Linked DNA regions of Caenorhabditis elegans. The protein of the gene in region 1 purifies or fractionates together with the protein of each later gene. This does not show direct contact. Each region holds a gene or a part of one and is shown in the gene's direction. Other genes may lie near its edges.

Evidence for each region.
Region 2: the proteins of meg-4 (region 1) and pptr-1 purify together in Caenorhabditis elegans (affinity purification with western blotting, with the first as the bait; one study listed by BioGRID). This does not show direct contact.
Region 3: the proteins of meg-4 (region 1) and pptr-2 purify together in Caenorhabditis elegans (affinity purification with western blotting, with the first as the bait; one study listed by BioGRID). This does not show direct contact.

Annotation. Positions count from the first base shown.
Region 1 is NC_003284.9:1,680,028-1,688,130, forward strand, and holds meg-4 (J domain-containing protein), read left to right. Parts: upstream 1-2,926; 5' UTR 2,927-2,928; coding exon 2,929-2,986; intron 2,987-3,032; coding exon 3,033-4,503; intron 4,504-4,551; coding exon 4,552-4,635; intron 4,636-4,683; coding exon 4,684-4,830; intron 4,831-4,878; coding exon 4,879-5,013; intron 5,014-5,528; coding exon 5,529-5,806; intron 5,807-5,855; coding exon 5,856-6,181; 3' UTR 6,182-6,392; downstream 6,393-8,103. Other genes in the region: C36C9.11 (Transposase), read left to right, coding at 7,513-7,551, 7,603-7,655, 7,994-8,030.
Region 2 is NC_003283.11:16,354,411-16,361,608, forward strand, and holds the start of pptr-1 (Serine/threonine-protein phosphatase 2A regulatory subunit pptr-1), read left to right. Parts: upstream 1-3,110; 5' UTR 3,111-3,241; coding exon 3,242-3,402; intron 3,403-3,452; coding exon 3,453-3,523; intron 3,524-4,427; coding exon 4,428-4,726; intron 4,727-5,695; coding exon 5,696-5,919; intron 5,920-6,816; coding exon 6,817-6,985; intron 6,986-7,198. UniProt on the Caenorhabditis elegans protein: Probable regulatory subunit of serine/threonine-protein phosphatase let-92 which negatively regulates the insulin receptor signaling cascade composed of daf-2, age-1, akt-1, akt-2 and sgk-1 by promoting the dephosphorylation of akt-1 on 'Thr-350'.
Region 3 is NC_003283.11:11,025,484-11,033,364, reverse strand, and holds pptr-2 (Serine/threonine protein phosphatase 2A regulatory subunit), read left to right. Parts: upstream 1-2,540; coding exon 2,541-2,685; intron 2,686-2,856; coding exon of another isoform or gene 2,857-2,902; intron 2,903-3,444; exon of another isoform or gene 3,445-3,560; intron 3,561-3,580; exon of another isoform or gene 3,581-3,721; intron 3,722-3,977; coding exon 3,978-4,043; intron 4,044-4,082; coding exon of another isoform or gene 4,083-4,094; coding exon 4,095-4,187; intron 4,188-4,233; coding exon 4,234-4,547; intron 4,548-4,590; coding exon 4,591-5,652; intron 5,653-5,708; coding exon 5,709-5,852; downstream 5,853-7,881.

The DNA of each region.
Region 1 (8,103 bases):
TTGTATATTTACGTATCATGATAAAAAATTCAAAAAAATTTTCTAGATTTTATATGATTTTTTTGAAAATTGCAAAAATCTCAGTTTTCCCCTAATTCCTATTTGAATTTCCGCCAATTGAATTCGTTCGCTGGAGCACACTTGCATTATTTTTATTAATTTATTATATTGTTTCTCATTATTTCACTGATTTTCTTCATTCTTTGTGTATTTTTATCGGAAAAAGAGAGAAAAATTCAAGATAAATGCAAATTATTTATTTAAAAATCACTGAAAATGGGTAAAACTGTAAAATTATGAGTTCCGACGATAGCAAGCCTGAAATTAGCTTATTTCACAGTTTCACCCATTCTCAGTTATTTTTAAATAAATAATTTGCATTTATCTTCTCTCTTGTTTTCCGATAAAAATACACAAAGAATGAAGAAAATCAGTGTAATAATGAGAAAAAATAAAATAAATTAATAAAAATAATGCAAGTGCGCTCCAGCGAACGAATTCATTCGGCGGAAATTCGAATAGGAATTAGAGGAAAACTGAGATTTTTGCAATTTTCAAAAAATCATATGAAATCTAGAAAATTTTTTATCATGATATTCGGTCATTGTGGTAACATAGGCGTGTTTTAAAACAATTTCCCCATTTCGAATTTGAACTCATTATAAATACTTGCTTGGCAGTTTGGGAATTTTGGTTACAACGCATATAGAGACTTTGGAAAAGTCTCAATATTTTATAAGAAAAGCCACTCTAGAGAGATCAATTGAAAATAAAAAATAAAAAAGATCCTTTGTATGCTGCTTGCAGCTTCTCCGGCGATCGATTTCATATAATTCATTAGTGACTAGGGGTGGCAAGAGTGCGACCTAGGTCGCTAGGTCGCTGTTTTCATTTAGGTCGCATTGCGACCTGCGACCTAGCGACCTGCGACCTAGCGATCTGGGTTGCATTGCGACCTGCGACCTAGCGACCTGGGTCGCATTGCGACCTGCGACCTAGCGACCTAGGTCGCATTGCGACCTGAATTACCGACATTTTGTTCTCTTTCGGTTTTGATTCACTTGAGTTGTTAAAATCCGTATAACTCGAAAACTGCATTGCGACCTGAATTACCGACAATTTTTATACTAACAAATTGCTACAAATCATTTATTTTACATTGTTTTCGATTTCTCATCCATAAGACACCTTGTCGAAAAAAGTTAGAACAGCCGACATCCGCCGGATTTGCTGCTTTTTTCTACGTTTTTAATTCGAAAAGTGGAAAATGAAATTTTAGAAACAACAAAAACCACAAAAACGTGAACTTTTTGAAAAAATTTGCTGAAATGCATGGTTTTATTTGTAGAAATGAATTCTTTGTTCCGTACTTTTGAAAAAAAACTACGCATAAACTTATAAAATCTTAATAGAGAAAATGTTAGTGGAATATATCATACATATTCTGCAATCTTTAGTTTTCGAGTTATACGGATTTTAACAACTCAAGTGAATCAAAACCGAAAGAGAACAAAATGTCGGTAATTCAGGTCGCGATGCGACCTAGGTCGCTAGGTCGCAGGTCGCAAAGCGACCCAGGTCGCTAGGTCGCAGGTCGCAAAGCGACCCAGGTCGCTAGGTCGCAGGTCGCAATGCGACCTAGGTCGCGATGCGACCTAACCCTCTAGGTCGCAGGTCGACCTAGGTCGACCTATAGCCACCCCTATTAGTGACTCATGCTTCCGGGGGGTGCATGGCTCAGTGCCTATGCGCGCTGCTTGCAATCACAAGGTCACAAGTTCGACCCCCACCTCCTAGGTCCTTCCAGCCTTAAATGGGAATTCAGTGTTCGTTCCACTGTCTTACAGCTTACATACGGCATTTATCCAGGCAAGACCTGTAGAAAAAAACCAAAAAAAAAAAAAAAAAAAAATTTTGCCACGTGGGGCAACCTGGCAGTATTTAATGATTTCATTTTGGTATTGAAACATGAGACAGTCTAGAAAATTAATTGGCAGAAGTTATCGACCACAGTCCTCAAGATTTTCATTTGATCCCACGTGGCAAACTGTTTGAGTTTTCTTCATTTTTTCTTTGTGTCATAATTTGAAATTTTACTTGCCACATTTTCAGACATTTTTCCGTAAAGAAAATTGGCTGCTCACTTGGAAACGCTGAAATTAGTCTAAAAATCGATAATTCAGTATTAATTTTAACTTACTTTACTGAAACATTACTGAAAAATGTATGAAACTGTGAAAAATTAAAGTTTTAAGTTTTAAATCAAAGAAAATATTAAGAAAAATGTCAAAGATCAGGTCAATAATTTGCGCTGGAATTGAAAAATAATTCGGCCCTTTTTTTTTGCAAAATTGAAAAAAATCATAAAATTTCAAAGAAAATGTTCGGAATTTTTTTACAGTTTTATTCGATATTTACATTGAAACTCTATTTTGTCATTAAGGTACAAAAAACCCACAAACGCTACTCCACCTTTAAACTAACAAGTACACGGAACCAAAGATTTTTCCTTATTTTTCTTCTTCTCGTGTTTTATTCAGTGATTATCTTTCCGGTCACCAATATTCCAGAGAATTAACTATCAATATCCGACTTTTTACTCAACTGTTCCTCAAACCTCCAATACTCTTGAAAAACAGCCGGTACCATACAAACGTTTTGTGTTGTTTTGGTAATACCCCTGCCGCATTTTAACTGTGTTTTTGCCGCGCGCATGCATTCCCCTGACCGTTTCCCCACACACTATTTCGCGCTCTCTTTCTCTACCTCTCTCACTCTCTCACTTCTCGCACTCACTCACTCACAGGTCTCCATTCTTGCTTTTTGGTCCCACCGGTTTTCATTAATTCCTCTCTCCCTCATTATTTTCTTTACATTTTTACATTTTTACATTTTGTAATATTTCATTAAGTTTTTTTTGTTGCAGGTATGAGTTCTTCAAAGCTTTCCTCATGTGATCTGCCAAACTCCAGAGGAAACAGAGAAGGTAAGCATTTTTTAAATCAATTTTTTTCTTCAATTTGTAATTTCAGGTCACCGCTCTCATAGTCGAAGCAATTTGGAAAGTGCATCGAAAAATATGGGACACCACATTAGTATTGAAGAATTGTTTTATTCGTTCGTAAAGCAAGACGGTGTTCAGTCAACAAGCCGTGGATATGGTGGCAGATCTCACCACGGATCCGTGTCTTTTAACGGGAATCCTTCCATGAACGGCGACCAGTTGAATCACTCGATTAATCAATCGATGAATGCAGCTCGAGCTAACAGAAACGTCTTCAACTCATCGAGCATTCCTCCAACGGCCCCCGTGTTCTCTGCAGACTTCCGTCAAAACTCGCAGACACGCAATAACTCCAGCTGGAATCAACGGAACTTGTCAGTTTCCACTTATCAGTACAACACTCAGCAGTCAAATACAGGGCACAGTAGAAGCCGTCCGAATGGACAACTTGGCCGAAGCTTCTCGGATGGATCGAACAATCATGGCCATGCTGGGAATGTGTCATTCAGTGGGAGTTCCGTTCCAGCTGGGTTCCAGAAACAAGAAACCAAGGCTTACCAACAACTTCATGGAAATAAAAGCTTCAACGCTCAAGCTGGAGTTCAAGCTCCTGGAGATCACAAGGACAAGAGATATGGAGGCATGTTTGGAAATGAGCTTATCAATTCGATCAATTCTAGTTTTGGCCAACAGCATGATGTCTTCAAGCCGCGGAATTTGAACCAGAGCTTTTCCGGATTTACTATTAATGAAGCTTTAACAAGGAAGCATCATCAAGAAGGATCAAGAAACGATAGAAGAAGATCACATGGGAGCACTAATGTCCAGGATCGTGCTTTCTACAACACAGATGACAATGAACTGTCTGACGACGTGTTCATAGAAGATTCCAATGGTGTTGCAAACGGTCCAAAATCTGTCACTAACAAATCTCAACAACAGTCTCGCGGAACGAAGGATGCTGGCAGTCAAGTGGCGGAGAAACTGAACTCTTCCAGAGGAGCTGCTCAACGTAATCTGAAATCCAATGTGTTCAGCAAGGACGGCACCGAACTTTCTGTGGAACAGTTACTGGAAATTGTCAGCATGAAGATCGGACAACACTTGCACTCAGCTTCCAGTTCTCACGGAGAATGCAGCAATTTGAATCGGACATTACCAGCTAGAAGTGATCTAAATTGCTCAATTGGTGAAGACTTCGACTCCAGTTTTCTGGATGTAAACAATCGAACCCTGCCAGAAAATCTTTCGAAGAAAACTTCAGTGCAGAAACATCGTCGTGGAAGTTCTCGTAGTGCGTCCCGTCTCGCCAGTCTTGACGTGACGCTGGAGACTGTAGAAGAAGATGTCGAACCCACACCAAGTCCACATCCGAGTTCTCCTCCAAAGATCTCAAGAAGAAAGTGGACAGGAACTTTTGATGCCAACGTTGAGGAAATGAGACGTTTACTTCATGGGGACCCTGGGAAGCCGAAATCTACAAAACGTGCTTTCTCAAGGTATGTAGTGATAAAAAGTGAAGTATTTAGTAAAAGTTTGAATTTCAGCAAGGATCAGAGAACACCTTCCTTGTCAATCATCACAAGCCCGAAGGCTTTGATCGGAGAAAAATGTCTGACAGCATCCAACAAGTTAGTTTTACACTTGGAGCTGCTTTTTTCATTATGTTTGTATTGCAGGTCTTCAAAGATTGACAAGTCACTTGGCATGATTGATTCGAAACTCACAAAGTCACCAATGTACTCCGCCACGGTTTCTGGGAAGGAAGCAACTTCAGGAAACCGAATCGCTCGAAAGTTGACTCCAGGGCTTGATGGACTGAAAAGGTATGGAACTACAAAGAACAAACAACATTTTTAAATGTTCTTTTCCAGCTCTCATTGTACCGGAAATCCAGTTTCCATAGATTGTAATGGTTGCCCAACTCCGAAAAGAAGTGGAATCAATTGTGATAATCGTATGGCTGAAGTGAACAACCAAGCCGGGAGATGGTCCTCTGAAGCCACCAGGTAAGGCCCAAATCAATAAATTCGCAATGAGTTTCGTATTATATAAATTTCTGAATTCTCAAAAAATCGTGGATCAAACATATGGAAAATAATGTGCAAGTTGAGTAGATTGAGGTCAAGACTAGACCTCTCGAGTAAAAAAATAGAGCATTAATCTTGCACAACTCCGCAAAAAGCCCTCTGCTTTTGTCTATTGCCCAGAAGGTGTGCGGCAAATTTGTACGGTTTTGCCGAAACAACTTTGCCGAATTAGCCTAATTTGCCGTTTGCCGAGCTCAGACAATTTTGATCAAAGCTATGGATTTTGTCGCCAAAAATTTAGTAGTGCTCGGCAACTTTTGAGATTTTCCACACATCCCTGGAGCCCAGTCTAATCACTTGATATTATAATTACTAAACGGTGAATTGCGAGCCCGCTAATAAATTTAATTTCCTCAGAATATATAAATTTTTGCCGCACAGCTTGATTCGATTTCTGTAACATACTTTCCAAGTACAATTAATTTTTTTTTCAGTCAGCCTGCCCCACTCCCTTGCAAGTCAGCCAACCCGACCGAAGATTCTTCTCAAGATGCACCTCCAACTTCACCACCACCTCGTATTTCTGATAGCTTGACGGCATTCCTGGAAGCTCAACAAGACTTCAATGATTATATTGATGCTCACTACAAAGAGAAGACACAACTCTTGAAAGTGAATTTGAATATTCACGGGATGTCACCTGAAAGATGGCTGTACTTGAATTATTTTTGCACCGAGACAATTCCAAGATTGGATGGTCCTTATGCCGATGGTAAGAAAGATAAGACATATTTAATCTTGAAAAACGTAAATTTTTTCAGATCCAAGGGTTCCACCTGTGCGAAATATATTCAGAAGATGGTTTCTCCGGTTTGCTGAAGCCTGCTTAGGAAATCCAAATGACCTTGCAGTTCAGAAAGATATTGCTCTCGAGTTCGTTCAGGCTCGGCTTGACGATACGAGCAGCTCCACAGATTCCACCAATATGCTCTACATGTTGTGGAAGGAGTGTATCGGACAGAAGAATATCATCTCAATTGCTGATGCGTGTCTCCTTGTATATCTTCGGAAATCGGATCCTGTCAGATACTTGAATGCAAAACGAGAATGGCTGGAATCTATTTTTGACCCACCCAGAGATCAATGATTGTACTGATATATATCTATTTCATGTCGAGTATTTTGTATTTTATTCTTGTTCATTGACCTTTTAACCACTCTTTTTATACTCCAACTTGCTCCTTCTTGTGAATTTATTTATGGTCTGCCCAGGAACTTGTAACGGGTAGTTTTCTATTGTTATCAGGACTGCTGCTCATTCAAAATTCAAAGTTGAATTTCAATAAAGCGAATGTTTGAAATAGGTATATAATTGGCAACTGATTAGTAGAAATATGTCTCTTCTTTGGCTTTTTGTAAAAGTTAGGCAAAAAAGTGGTCACGGATTCAATTTCAAAAGCGATGCTTCAGACTTATCCGCTACGATAGCGAAGGTTCCGTTTGTACTGAAAAACACAGTAGAGGAAATTGGTATAGGCGCGTATAAATAGAATTCTAGTAGTTGACTCTGAAATATAAAAAGTTATTAACAATCCAAATTGGCAATTACTGATTATAAGGATAGGAATGTTAAGTTTTCTTAATACTACTAGATACTACCCTCTACATTTTTATTGATAGGCATGCCTACTTGCCTGCCTAACTTCATTTGAAGGTCTTCTCTTTGAACGTCCACTTGCGCCATTTCCCGCCTTAAACTTGTTGTGTTTTCCTTGGATGGCTATTTGACTAGCGATTTCAGCTTTCAAGAATGAAAACAATGTTAAGTGCTGGCCTTAGATATCCAGTGTTTCCTGTGAAATTTCATTTCAGTGGCAGCATGCCAGACCAAATCCAAAAAAACCAAAGGGGAAATTGTTAAAAACTACTCCTATGATCCCAAAATGACAAATTATCATAGTCAAAATTTTCTAGAATATCGCTTACATCCGAAGCCTAAGCCTACGCCAAGGCCTAAGCCAAATCATAGGCCTACGCATAGGCCTAAGCCTAAGCCTGATGAAATAAAACAGTATAGTTTCATTTAAATGAAACACCAGAACCATCAAAAACACTTGATTTTTTTTCAAATTTTTTTTAAACTAAAATATTTTTAAAGTTCGAAGGAAAACTGTTTAGCATCTTTTTCTTTTTGTGTGTCACTCTACATTAATATAAAATTTTATTGCAGTCCGCTACACACTTTTTCATTGTTTTTGTTTCTCTGCTCCTCTACTTTCTTATCAAAATTTTTTCCCGGAGGTATCATTTGGTCTTCCTGCGGCGGCTTGTGTGGCTGGCACCACCATTTTTTTCTGGATTAAAACAAATTAAAAAAATTTATGTATTGTATGTGTGGTGAGTTTTAAAGTTATATTAGTTTCAAGAAGCTAATTTTCATTACTTTCAGAAATTTAATTTCTGCTATCCGCACCCCGAATGTCTACAAAAAATCTTCTGACTCAAGATGGTAAATTGGTGAGTTTTTGTATCAAAAAAGTTTCGAAAACCTTCAGAAATTAATTTCAGAGTAAGAATCGGCAAGTCGAGGAGAAAAATATCTTTAATGCAAATCCCACATTGTAAGTGCTTTTCTCGAAAATCTATAATAACATGGAATAAGGTTATGGAATAATGTATACATTAGATACATAGTAGCGTCCTATAAAAATACCAAACTGCCAAAAAATATTAAAAATTTTGAAACTTCGGTCTAATTAAAAGATATCAAGCAGATAAACGCTTAAGATTAGCCCAAAACTGAAACATTTCAATTTTGAACAATCGTTAGCTAATTAAAAACTACAAGCATTAAACCGACTCCAAAATACCATTAAAAAAGCTCACGAGAATTGCGCCAGTAGCCTTCTTGGATCATTTCCAAGTAGGAGCCTATGTCATAATAATACTATATTTTCAGAGTGAATAAAATTGTCTGCGACCTCGAATCATTCTGAGACTTTTGCGAAGTCAACAAGGACATGAACATTTATGATAATTTCGACGGAATGGCATTTGACTGATAATTGT
Region 2 (7,198 bases), on another chromosome or scaffold:
TACACGGACAAATACATTGAGTTTTACAACTAAAACCGAGCCGCGACGCGACACGCAACGCGCCGTAAATCTACCCGAGCCAAGATTTCAATGTATGAGGGTGGCCGAGTTTTCTTTTTTTCACGGCCACGTAGTAACATGAGGTGGCCGAGTTCACTATAACTTAGAATTTTTGTAATTTTAAATGAAAAAATCTAATCCAAGCTATAGCTCAACACTTTGCTCGCCGAGCATCAGAAAATAATCCTCCCGCTTTTCCACGGCCAACATTAATCTAATCTCAAATCTCTCTTCCTTCTCAAATCCTTTCTATAATTCCAGTAGGCTCAGCATTTATACATTTTTCTGTTGGACAGAAACTAGTCGAACAAATTGTTGAAAATAATAATAATATATATTTTTCGTCTGCGTCTCGTCTTGTTTCTACAGTATTTTCTTGTGGTAACGCACATGTTTTGTCAGTGAAAAGACCACCTCCGATAATATCATCTTTTTTATTTGAATCGGGAATCACTCACACCACTCACTCACACAGAGACACTCATCAATTGATTTGGATCATTTGTTTTTTTTTTTTTGCTTTATCGATTTTTACCAGTTTTCGCGGGTTTTTATTAGAAAACTCTTCCCCAGTTTTGAGGTCGTGGCCGAAGTTTTAACTTTTCTCGGCCAAGTTTGATGCATCGCGGCCGTGTTGGCGATTTTCTAGGCCACGTAGCGAATGTGCCGCCCTGTGTCGATTTACGCAGCCACATGTTGTCAGAGTGCCTCATTTCGGCTTGATCTACGTAGATCTACAAGAAATGCGAGAGAAGAGAGACGCAGAGTTCTCAACTGATTTCGTATGGTTAAGAACGTGCTGACGTTACATTTTTTTGGACAAAAAATTTCCGCATTTTTTGTAGATCAGCACCAGGTGCGCAGCGTGTACTCCGCGAGGAGAAGTGGAATTTTAGCTAATATTCATTTTTTATAAAATAGCGAAAACTGTTTTTCTCTCAAATTACCGGAAAAATTCATATTTATCAGCAAAAATGTTTCCTTATTTTTTTCCAGAAAAAAATATTTTAAAAAAAATAAATTTCGGTCCAAAACTATAAAAAATCGATGAAAATTCCGCAACAACAACAAAACTTTGGAGTTACAGTACTCTTTAAAGGTGCACGCCTTTTCGTATTTAACAAACTTTTGTCGTGTCGAGACCCGGTACCGTATTTTCGAGAAGACTTTTGTTCCGTATAAAAAGCCTTTTTAAAAATAATTTTAAGTCATTTCTCTAATTTTCAATCAATTATTTCTCGGCTAATTTTTTGTGTAATTTCTTCCATTTTTTAGATATCAGTGCTACTATAAACTTTGCTTTCGCGGCGAGACCCATCCCACTAAGCCTCTGCGCCTTTAGGTAAAAGTTTCAGAAGTTTGCGTTTTAATTAAGCTTTTTCTATTCATCTGAAAGTTGTGCAAATTCTCACTTTTTCTCCCCGTATTTACTTCCACCCCCATAAACTGCCCCTCCTCTTCATTTTCTTCACGTCTCCGTCGTCTCCAGTGGCCTGTGATGGCCTGTGTGCGTATATTATTCCTTTACTTCTCTCTCTCTCTCTCTCGGTCTCCCACACTCTCCGGCCTTTCCGTGTGCAAATGCGTGCGCGAGTGCGCACGACGTGTCTGCGTCTCTCGACGTCTTCTCAGTGTCTGCATCACTGTGCACTCCGGAATGCACACGAACTCTGCTCGCGCCGCTCACAAACGGCGCTCATCGGGTGAGAGATTGTCTTTTTTCTCTCGATCAACTAACTCTCTCTGTGGCTGGGCAGAGTGAGAGAAGACAACAAAACGTTGACGTTTATACCTCGTGTGAGAGCGAGAGTTTTTTGTCTCTTTTTTTCAACTTTTTCACTGAATTTATTAAGCGATTTGGAACATTGTTCGTGTTTTTTGTAGGGAATAAAATATAATTTATGCGCGAACTGCGTAGGTCATGCGCATGAAAAATTAAAGGATTTTGCTTTTTTAGACTCAAAATGCGCTCAAATAAACGAATTTTGTAATGAGACTACTCTTAAATTTCCCGAAATTTTTTATGGAGGCTTCTTTTTTTTAATTCAGACCTCGAAGTTCAAAATTTCGAAAAAACTTGATAATTTTTAAAAATTAGACAAAATTTTCGATTTTTCCAAAAATTTATATGTCGTAGCGGTAGGAAATTAAAATTTTTTCCGACACGAAAAATTGGCAAAGCTAGTTTTCCAGCTGGATTTTAGATAAAAATGCCCAGTTTTATCGATATTTTCAACCGCCATAGGTAAAATTAAACGAAATTCGTTTATTTTGGCACATTTTTACACCAGCAAAAACTGTCACTCCTCTCTCAAAATTTATCAATTTTCCCCGCGGTTATCGCTAAAAGTGAGCAAACCAGCAAGAAATACAGAATTTTCGGTTGTTTTATTTTTTTTTAATTTTTAAAGCAGTTTTTACGCTGAAAACTCTGAAACTTCAACTAAATTTCGACGAAATTCAGTTTTTCCATCTAAAAAAACAAATAAAAAACAAATTCGCAAGCGTGCTCCATTGATAAATTTGCGGAGCGGGAATTTGAATCTAGTTTTTCTTGTTAAATGGTTTTTTTAATCAATTTTGTGATAGTTCTCAAAATTTCACTTTTTCTGTGTATTGGCCCCATTGCCCATTGCTTTGTTCATTTAATGAAGGCATTTTTGCAAATTTTTACCACAAGGAAGCTTTAAAAACTAGAAAAAACGCGGCAAACCACCGATCAGTAAGTGCGCTCCAATGTAAATCGGAGATTTTCTCGTTTTTTAATTTGTTTTTTACGTTAAATCGATGTTTTGTCTACAATTTGAGCGTTTTTCCTGCGTTTTTTTCGGTTAAAAATTGAATAAAATTAAATAAAACCCATTTCAATACATTTTATTCCCGAATCTGATCACTTGTCGACCTACATTGCCATTTACTTTCACTCTCTTCTTATCATAATTTCGATAACCACTGCCTATCTCTTTTACACCATTCCGCGTTAATAAAAACCCTCTCTCTCTCACTCTCTCGCAATAAAAAATCAATATATATATATATACATTTTGCAGAAGCGCCCAGAAATCTCTCTCTCGCCGTCTGCTTCTCTGCTCCCTCCTACACGAAGTTTCAACACTTCGCTCGAACACAACCAGGGCGAGAAGACGTTGAAGAAGATAAATTCTTTTAATCAAAAAAAAAAATGCACGGAAGCGGGCACAGTCTAACGGGCGCTCCGCATCAAATTCCGCCGCCACGGACACAGGGAGCCGCCACCGGTGGCCAACAACTCTCGGCGACAGCTAATCAATTTGTTGATAAAATCGATCCGTTCCATAATAAAAGAGGAACTTCTAGACGATTGTGAGTGGCTGGTTTAATTTATTTTTATCGATTTTTCCCGATATTTTCAGGCGCATCAACAACAGCAGCCGATATAATGTTGATTCGGCTCAAGAACTCGTACAATTGGCGCTCATCAAAGGTGATTTTTTTGGATTTTCTAGATGAAAAACCGAAAAAATTTCGAAGAATTGAGTAAAAAATAGCGAAAAACTCGCATTTTGCCACCCTGCCGCAGATTTTGGCAGTTTTCAGTCGATTCCAGGCAAATATTCAGGGAAAATGTCCAAAAATGCTAATTTTAGTGAAAAAATGTTGAAAAATGCTCGATTGGCCTGAAAATTAGGATAATTTTCGTTGAAAAGTTGGAAAATAGCCTACAATTGTCGGAAATTGTCCCAAAAGTGTGAATTTCGACTTTTATACAAAATTTGTGATTCTTTTTAAAGTTTTTAACGAAAACTTACACTATTTTCAAGTAAATCAACTTTTTTATGTTGTATTTTTACATTATTTCGTGAAAATTTACCTACATCGACGGGAAAACGCGTTAGAAATCGCGAAAATCTTCAAAATAAAGGAATATTTCGATGAAAATCGATTTTCGGTCGCTGCAAATTCGTAAAAATGGAGTTTTTAGTCTTTTTTTTAAAAGATTTTTTGACAAATCGGATAATTTTGAACCCAAAACTAAGAAAATTTGGTCTTTTTGAGCCAAATTTTGAACTAAAATTCTGAAAAACGCCGTCTGAAATCTCTAAAATCTGCAAAAATTGCCGATTTCAAATTTAGCCTTTTTTCAGAATATTTGAGCCGAAATTGTCGGTTTTTTTTTGAGCCGAAATTGTCGGGTTTTTCAGTGAAAATTTGCCGAAAATCCCTGCTAAAACCCCGAAAAAAGGCCTAAATCATCAATTTTTTAAAAGAAATTCAATTGCTGCTGCAAAATTTGAGATTTTCGCCATTTTTATCGAAATTTGAATTTATTTTGAGCCTTTTAAATCAATTTTACCGCTAAAAATCTTTAAAAACTTCAATTTTTCCAGATACTGCTGCAAATGAGCAACCGGCTCTCGTTATCGAAAAGCTCGTCCAATGTCAGCACGTATTCGATTTCTATGATCCAGTAGCTCAACTGAAATGCAAAGAAATCAAAAGAGCAGCTCTAAATGAGCTCATCGATCACATTACATCGACAAAAGGAGCAATTGTTGAGACAATTTATCCGGCTGTCATTAAAATGGTTGCCAAGAATATATTCCGTGTACTTCCACCATCAGAAAATTGTGAATTTGATCCAGAAGAGGATGAACCGACTTTAGAAGTCTCGTGGCCACATTTACAGGTTGGAAATGCAAGAAAAACCCGAAAATGGCTCCAGGAAGCCGAAAAATGACAAAAAAAAATCGAAAAAAAAATGCAATTTTCAGAAAAATAGAGCAAAAAGTGCATTTTTCACTAATTTTTGGTCCAAAAAATTGACTTTTTCGACTGGAAAATTATTAGTTTTCCTTTTGGCAAAAAAAAACCCCGATACATCCTGAAAACATCGAAAATCTGAAAATTATAGCAGAAAACCGCGTTTTTTTGCTCCAATATACCAAAAATAGCCCCAGTGCATCAAAAAATATTGACAAAATGACCTAAAAACTCTGATTTTCTCAACTTTTCCGTGTTACAGATGGCATTTGGCCACTTTTTGGACCGAGAAAGGCATCGAAAGACGGAATTTTATAACAAAATTCATTAAAAATCGCTCAACAGCTCATAAAATGACATTTTCAGCTGAAATCTCAAATTTTGCCAACTTTCCCGGTGTCACAACGGTCGGAAATTAAAAAATTGGCGATTTAGGCTGAAATTCGACCATTTTTCGGAATTTTCAGCAATTTTTGATTATTTTTATTACAAAAGACCCCTATTTAAAAAAATCAATTTTTGCTCTATTATACCCAAAATGGCTCCGGGCCATCAAAAAATGCTGAAAATTCGTCGAATGTCAGCCTAAATCGCCAATTTCTCAATTTCCGACCGCTGTGAAACCTGGAAAGTTGGCAAAATTTGAAATTTCAGCTGAAAATATGTAATTTTTCGAGATTTTGAGCGGTTTTTAATGAATTTTGTTATGAAATTCCGTCTTCTATGGCCAAATTTCACCTGAAACTCAGAAAAGTCGACAAAATTTGAGTTTTTAGGCCATTTTCTGGCCAAATTGGGAGCTAAAAGATGCTTAAAATCATCAGAAATCTGCAAAAATTCACTGAAAATTGGAAAAACTGCCCTAAAATCAAAAAAAAAAAAACGAATTTTGCAGCTTGTCTACGAGCTCTTCCTGAGATTCCTTGAGTCGCCAGATTTCCAAGCTTCAATCGGTAAAAAGTATATTGATCAGAGATTTGTGCTCAAGCTGCTCGATTTATTCGATTCGGAGGATCCACGTGAACGAGACTTTTTGAAGACGGTTCTTCATCGTATTTACGGAAAATTTTTGGGCCTTCGGGCTTTTATTCGCAAACATATCAATAATATGTTTTTGAGGTGAATACTGGATTTTTTTTTTCGCTGAAAAATCGCTAAAAAATGGCTTAAAAATGAGAAAATTGCAACGAAAAGCTCAATTTTCGGCAAAAATTCATGGATTTGGACCATTTTTGCAATTTTTGATATTAAAATTGTCATATTTGTGGTGTTTTGGGTGAAAATTTGTGATTTTTCTTTGAAAAATACCGAAAACTTGTGAAAAGTTATGTAAAATAGCGTTTTTTGTGTTAAATTTGAAAAAAAAAAGGAATTCCTCTCTTCCACAAGGAGTACACGTTTATTCGGAGCTCGTGTACTCCACGAGGAAAAATGCTCATTTTTTGGCTTAAAAACATGATTTTTGGACAATTTTTTGTAATTTTGAAATTAAAATTGGCTTTCAATAGAGATTTAAGCGAAAATCGATGAATTTTTCATTGAAAAATACAAAAAAAACGATAAATTCTAGTTTTTCAGGCCTAAATTACTATAAATCGGCGATTTTAGTGTTAAAATTCACGAAAATGGTTCAAAATCAAGCATTTTAGCTAAAAATCAATCAAAAAATTATTCTTCTCGAGGAGTACACGGCGCGCGTAAATCGACACATAACCGGTTTTGGACTTTTTGGACTTTTTTTTCGCAATTTCCAACTTAAAAATTGCCAATTTATCCCTGTTTTGAAGTGTTTTAGGTGAAAATCGATGAATTTTCTGTTGAAAATTTAAAAAAATTCTTGTTTTTCAACAGTAAGTACATTATAAATTGCTATAAAAATACAATAAATCGGCGATTTTAATGTTAAATTTCGCGAATTTGGTCCAAAAAAATGTGAATTTTAGCGAAAAATTAGTAAAAGCGCTGCGTAAATCGACACAAAGCTTCTTCCACTTTTCAATTTCCAATTTTTTGCAGATTCGTATACGAAACGGACTCATTCAACGGTGTCGGTGAGCTTCTCGAGATTCTTGGCTCAATTATAAACGGATTTGCTCTTCCATTGAAGCAAGAGCACAAGGTTTTCCTTGTAAAAGTTCTTCTACCATTGCACAAACCGAAATGCTTATCACTGTATCATGCACAGGTTAGACAGAAAAAAATTAATTTAAAATTCTAAAATTCAGAAAAACCACAAAAAATAACCGGAAAAAATCGCGTTTTTAAAAAAAAAATTTTTTTTTTAATTTTGACTCCCCGACCAATCAGCGCTTCCGAACTCCGCCCACTCCCTCTGATTGGTTGAACAGTGGGCGGAGCCGATCGCTGATTGGTCAGAAGGAAAATTTTACCGAAATTG
Region 3 (7,881 bases), on another chromosome or scaffold:
AAAATAAATGACACATACCAACCTTAACGGTTGCTTTTCTAGAAAGCAGATAATTTACAGAATTATTATATAATGTAAAAATTAAATTTTTTAAATACGTGTTGACTTCAAACATTCACCAGTAATTTTTAGAGAAACATAAAATCGTCAATCGAAAAAATGTCTTTCGAAACGCTTTAATTATGAAGGTACCTTTCTCAAAGTTACTTAGAAAAAACATTTTTAACGTAGTATTATTTTGAAAATCTAAACTATATTGTTGAATGATTTCATATTGTGAAATTATTTCAACGCTTGAAAACTTCCAATTGACTTTGGGTTTTTGACATTTTTTTTGAATTGGTATTATGAACTGTAAGCTTTAAATACAAAAGCTCATTATCAAGGTTTTGATAAAAAATTGTTATCTTTTTCGAAACGCGTTAGTAAATAGAAAATTGCTTTCTAGACGATTATTTATAAGTTAAGAGGATTTATCAGTGAATTCCCTGAATGTGTTTTCAAAGATTTTCGAACATTTATTTATTTTTCCTTTTTGGTCTCCAGCGACAAATTATTTTTCTATTCGAATATTTTTTCTGTAGCCGGGTCATCATGGAAATATTCCAATAGACTATTGAAGACGGATGAGCATTATTTCCGCACGTAAGGGACTTTGGGATTTTACGCTGGTTCAATGCCATGCATATACTCACAATAGCCAATTCCTTTGTGCTCTTTGATTTTCAAAACAGAAATATGATGCCAATACTGGCGCCCAGACCCCGGGACAAGATTTCATTTCTTCAACTAGTTTCACCCTCCGTCATCACGTGTCAGTTTTTAACGATTTCTAACAAAAATGTATGTTTTTGTGTCTAGGAACGGCAATGTTGAATATTTTGTTTTTCTAGAGTCTTACTTGTTTCAGCTTCGATGAAACCCGTTTTTTTAAATATAATTGAAAAGTGGATAAAAATTGGTTCATTATAATTAGAGATAGTTTAAAACAATACCCTAAAAATCCCAACAGTTAGAAGGGACTTATTCATTAATTAGTTGCTGGCTAAGTTTTCTATTTATATAATTACTCTCGAAATTTATCAATCGATTCTTGGACTTTTTTGTTCCGCAGACGCCGGCGGAGTTTACAAGCGTACGATGTGGTTCAACTTTTAAAGCTTTATAAATGGGGCATGTATGAATATTTCGAATTCTAAATCTATAATATTAAAACACAAACGCATCTAAATTATTGGTGTCGATAAGTATTTTTCAAGCGGTGAATCATCTGTGTTCACACAAATAACCAGATAAAAATGAATAAAAACATTTTAAGCTTGTTTAGAAAATTAATTAGTTTAAAACTTGATTCAAGACGGCACGATGCTTCTGACCGTTTTTATCCTTTCTAATTTATTTTTTTTATCGTATTACTTGCAATGGCATCACTTGATCACTGAACCTTCAAGGAAAAATAGAATGTTAAATTCAGAAAAAGTCTTAAATCTAGAAAAAAAAAACTCGGTGCACAAAAGTACATCAATTTTTTGTCTGTGATCAGCTACAATTCATTGCATATTCGTATAGAATATATTAAAAAAAGTTCCTAGATTTATTACTCGTTTTTTCACCAGTTATTTCTGCTTTCTTACGAAAACGCCTTTTCTCATTTTGCTTGTCAAAAAACACGCGATATGTGAGCCACAACAGAATTCTAATTGCTTGTTTCTATGTTGGGGGCACCACACAATTTCACCTGTTTTTCAGCAATCCAGCACGACCGCTATTTTCTTTGCTTCATGGGTTCACTTTTGGCAAACCCATAAAATATTTCGTATACTTATATGTCAAGTATTTGTATCTTACGAGTAAGACTGCCAAATTCTTCCTGCTCTCTTTTTTTCATCAGAATCTGATCCTTGACATCGTCTACTCTTTTACTCTCAAAAGAGCAGCAGTAATTGGAAATTGAAGAGGATGAAGCTCGATCTTTAAGGAAAAAACGAGAGAAAAGAAGTGGGCTGGTTAATCGAAAATTGCGCTGAAAAAGCAGAAGACGAGCTGTAGGAAAAAACGACAAAGCGTGGGAAGAGGGACGGCGCCGTTTGCTCCGCGCTTTTTATTTTTCGTCTTCCGATTTCCGAAGTGACGATGGTTTTTAAGTAAAGACAGATGATTTTTCTCATTCATGTAGTGATGTCATTTTTTGTTAGTTAGAGCCACATGGAATTCCATGGTTTTGCATTCCATTAATTCCTCTCCTACAGTTAATCATACTGCTTGAGATTGCATTTATTACATAGGTTACTGTAGTTTTCTAAAAAACAGATTTGGGTGCATATGTGCATGTTATCATGTGTGTTCTCAGTTTTTCCCCGTTGCTTTGAAAACATAATATCTCTTGTCAACAACGTTTTTCCACTTTTGAAACAATGAAAAATGGTCACTTGCTCAGTTTGTTGTCCCTTGTATTCTCTTTTTAATTTTTTAAAGGTCTCTTCATACTTTTATTGAATTTTTCATGTTGTTAATTTCAGGCGGTCGGCTCCGCATCCGCAATGTTGAGATCAAAGAAGAAGGACAAGGAAAATGGGAAATCAGAGAAAAAGGACAAAGAGAAGGATAAGAAATCAATGAAAGATGACGGTGCTGGAAGCAGTAAGGCATCTACAATTCCTACGATCCGAACAGAAGATGTTGGAGGTAAATTAATGTTTTGATTATTCGGGAAAGATGATAACACAAAATTTTAAAAAAGTCAATTTCAATAAAATCTCACGTGAATCTATATTCTTCCACGGTTCTCCGAGAGCATAATTTTTCATCATTTCTTTCTAACCATCGAGTAATTTCAACCATCAACCAAAGATAGCAATGAATAAAATGCCACAGAGATCAAAGAAAAGACGACAGAAAACGAGTAAGTAGTCTAAATTATTTGAGAACATTTAGGAGTAAGAGTGGTTCCTATCGTAGAGTTTTGAGAATTCTTCGAAACGAGCGGAGATCGTTGTGAGACCCTGTGAAGACAATACAGCGAGCCTATAAAGTTTAGATTACGGCGTGTCGAATTTTATCATGAAAACATATACTATTCGGAAACAAAAACAACATGATTCGAGATTAAGGTTTTGATTAGAGTTTTCTTCAGTAAATAATTTTTGAAGCTGTCCTCCCTTTCAGCATCTTATAGTTCTCGAGGTAGGCAGGTTTTTGACCACTTGCATTTTTTTGAATAACTGAAATGGATGCAAAGTATAAATAAGTAGAAATGTATCGGATCTGAAATCAAATGCACTACATTTTATGAAGATATTGAGTGAAAATATTTATCAGTTAGATGGGGGAGGAACAAGCCATCCAACCAACAACAAGAAATCTGTGAGCCCTCAAGGCACACTATTGATGTCCAACTTTTCCACAAACTCCTTCAAACTCTTCTTCTTTTTGCCCCCCCCCCCCCATTTTCTTTATTTCTCACAGAAAAAACGACCTTCTTTCTTCTCTGCGCCTGTCTTGCTCCTTTAGATTTCTTTTCTATCATCAATTTACCCTACTCTTCTTCTATTTCTCGCGTTATTTTGTATCACGGAAGAAGGTATTAGAAATAATTCGAATAGGATAGTTGGAACGGATTAGGACTCCAGCTCAATTAGTTTGATTGTGTTTTTTTGGTTTGTTACGCCTTTCCTGTAGTCTTTTTGCAGCGCATACCAAAGAAAAAAACATTTTAGTGTTCTGGAGAAAATATTATTTTGTTCATAGTAGATATTTTCTTACAAACGCTTAGACATTTCGCTATTTCCCCAACTTCACGAAACAACTTTTGTAGTGTACATTTGAATTTGAATTTCCCGCGTAAATGCTCGACGAGGCCGCAGAAATCGAAAATGGGATAGTTAGTCCACCACTAGTGTACTCCTCTCGGATAAATTTTTTTTTGAATCACAATCATTGATTTTTCCATTTTCGGCCCTCATATTTATCATTTCTAGGAGATATGATTCCTGCAGATGCACCACCACCAACAAATATTGGCCGAACAAACACGTACGGAGGAGGTTAGTGTTTAAACGAAGACTAATTAACTATAGAGACAGATTTAATTTCAGGGCCAGTGATACCGCGAAGAGAGCGCCGCCAATCAAGTAGCATGTTCAACATTTCACAAAACAGAGAGCTGCAAAGACTTCCAGCTATCAAAGGTAATAATGTTTTTTTTAATTACCGTATTGATAAACTCGTTTTTAGATGCGGATCCGAGCGAGAGAGAAACACTGTTCATTCAAAAACTTCGACAATGCTGCGTTGTTTTTGACTTTGCCAATGATGCTCTCAGCGATTTAAAATTCAAAGAAGTCAAACGGGCAGCTCTAAATGAACTCGTCGACCACGTTTCCGGAGCTCCAAAAGGATCGCTATCTGATGCTGTCTATCCAGAAGCTATCGGCATGTTCTCCACTAATCTTTTCCGTCCTTTGAGCCCACCGACCAATCCAATTGGTGCTGAATTTGACCCCGATGAAGACGAACCAACATTAGAAGCTGCCTGGCCACATCTGCAGGTAATATTTATTTTCTGCTCTTATTTAAAGTAAATATTTTCAGCTCGTCTACGAGTTTTTCCTGAGATTCCTGGAGTGCCCCGATTTTCAATCTCAAGTTGCAAAACGTTACATTGATCAAAATTTCATTCTTCGTCTTCTCATGATTATGGACAGTGAAGATCCACGTGAACGTGACTTTCTGAAGACAACTTTACATCGAATTTATGGAAAGTTCCTCGGACATCGTGCTTACATTCGGAAGCAAATCAACAACATTTTCTACTCGTTCATCTACGAAACTGAGAGGCACAACGGGATTGCTGAATTACTCGAGATTCTAGGTAGCATTATCAATGGATTCGCTCTTCCCTTGAAAGAGGAACACAAAACTTTCTTGCTCCGAGTTCTTCTTCCGCTACACAAGGTCAAATCATTATCTGTATATCATCCTCAACTCGCGTACTGTGTCGTACAGTTCATTGAAAAAGACTCATCACTGACAGAGCCTGTAATCAGTGGGATGCTACGCTTCTGGCCAAAACAACATAGTCCCAAGGAAGTGATGTTCCTGAATGAATTGGAAGAAGTCCTCGATGTGATAGAGCCGAATGAGTTCCAAAAAATCATGACTCCATTGTTCTCACAAATTGCTCGCTGTGTCAGCAGTCCACACTTCCAAGTTGCCGAACGAGCTCTCTACTATTGGAATAATGAATATGTGATGTCATTAGTAGCGGACAATGCTCGTGTGATAATTCCAATAATGTTCCCTGTTCTTTTCAAAAACAGCAAGTCACATTGGAATAAAACGATTCATGGACTTATCTACAACGCCCTCAAGATGTTCATGGAAATGAATCAAAAACTGTTTGACGAGTGTTCCCAAGCTTATCAGAAAGATCGAGTTCAAGAAAAGACATTGAATGAAGAAAAAGAACGCATCTGGAACAATATTGAGAAACAGGCAATGGGAAACCCGCAATATGTTGAAGTTAAAGCACTATTTGCTCGATTTAATCCAGATGAAATCATCAGCTCGCGTCAGCAGAATGGAGTTGACGAGAATATGAAGACTTCAACTGTGCTTAGCAAGGATGAAATTCTGAAAAATGCTGTAGGAGTGGTAAGTTACAAAAACCTAGAAATATTTTTTTTTTGTACAATAACGAATCATTACAGAGCTCGATGAAAAACGATATGGATTTCGGACCCAACCACAAACAATCCGATTTCCCTCCAGATGAGCAAACGACGAGAGCTTTAGGCGAGTACAAGCGTCACGATCCATTTTTGAAGAAAGTGACTAGCACCGACGAACAGTGATGCAGAAGACTTCAACGGGTGCCAATTTCTCCATGTTGTGCCGGGTTTATTATACGATGATTCGACTTCCTTACCCAGTTTCCGTTCCTTTCTTAAAATATTGACCATTCCATGACCCTTATCACCGTTTTATTGCTCTCCAAAATTGCCCTTAATCACATCTATGTTTGCGTACCTGTAAATATTTCGAAACTTATTTCAGTTTTATCAATATGCACCATAAATTCCATCTCTCCTCACCATCATCGCAAATCCAAATGCGACTTTTCATTGTGTAATAATTTCCCCCATTTTGGTAGTGATTTGGATTTAGATGTTATAAATGAATCGAGAAGCCATGTGAAATACATTAAAATCTGCATAGGAATAATCATGGGAATATATATTAGGCAGAAGGTTTACGAGGGGTTTGGCTCATTTCATCCAAATCCTTCTTTATATGTTCTTTTTCGAATGCTAACCCCACTCTTTGCACATCAATATGCACTTATGTATGAAATACACGAAATGAGACGAAGGAGCATTATAAGCGTTTAGGAATAAACAAAGAACTGAAAAAGCAGAGAGAAGATCATAAATCCATGAGACGAATTTTTGTTTGTTTCTGACTCACTTCGTCATATTTCTTCTCCAGGGTTTACTTTATCTTTTTTTTTCTTATGATTTCTCTGTTAGTCTTTGGAACATTTTACTTTAAAACTCATTATCGCAAAGTCGCTTTCATTTATTTTTAAACAAGATTTATAAAACTTTAACAGGATGATTCGTTGTATTTCAATCTAATGACAATTTTAAAATATTAAAATCACCATTAGTAAATACGGTTCCCGGTCTCGAACGCGACAGTTTTTGTTAAATACAAAAATGTGTGTGTCTTTCTATAAAAAATCCATGAAAATTCGAAAGCAGCGAAAATTAGAAACTACAGTACTCTTTAAAGACGCACACATTTTTGTATTTGACAAAAATTGTCGTGTCGAGACCGGGCACCGTATTTTCGGAGCAAAAATCGCCAACTTTCGGTTAAGGCGATTCTTTTTAGTTCCATGAAAATAAGGAAATTTTTGTTATTTAATTTTCCTTGAAATTAGTTGGTTTGGTTCTAATGGGTATACCTTGCCGAAAATGCAAAAAAAATTGCATTTTTGGCAGAATTGAACTTAGACAACTTAGACGATTGTCAGAATCTTAGACAATTGAATTAATGCAACTTATTCGAATATTTTACAATAAAAGCGAATAAGCCACAGCCGGAGCAGACATGATGAAATGATGAAATGATGAGAGTAATAAAAGTGTGGCAAATGTATGACAACCAGAATGAGGAAAGGATACACTTGGAAGAAATTGAGACAATGAATGACATCTATTCATATTCTTTCTGTTCTTTTTAAAATATTATTCTAGAGTTGTTTACTGTAATATTACTAGATTTATTCACTTTTGAATTCATTCGTAACATTTTCAGTGAATTCACATTCGATCAGAAAATGTGGTAAATGTGATTTACAACGAAGAAAATTTAACGATATATAGTTTTTTAAGTGACAAGCCAACCACACTCGAGTATCGTTAATTCGCAAAAAAAAATGACAATACCCAAAAATAGTTCATTTGATATAGAAAAAGAAATTACCAAATTGAAACTCCATGTCAGGATTTACCATGAACCGGGTTTCAAATTTTTGCCAACGGATGATAATTTCAGTACAGCTTCTAGAGATAAATATTATAGATTGGTATTATTCATTTATATCTAGAAAATAATAAACGTCTGAAAAACAAGCAAATATTCCAGAATCCAATATACTTGCTCACAATTCCTGTTTTTTATAAATCTAAGCAGAGAATTTTGTGACACACAAGCTTTTCATCTGTCAACGGATTCCATCCCAAATATTGTTTTTTTTTCAAGTTAGTGTCCACAACAACGGTATTATTCCAATTTCAGTATTTTGGTTTCTATCTGCAAATTAAAAATCCTTCTTTACTTTTACTTCTGTCAACAATGAAGAAAAAATGCAATAAT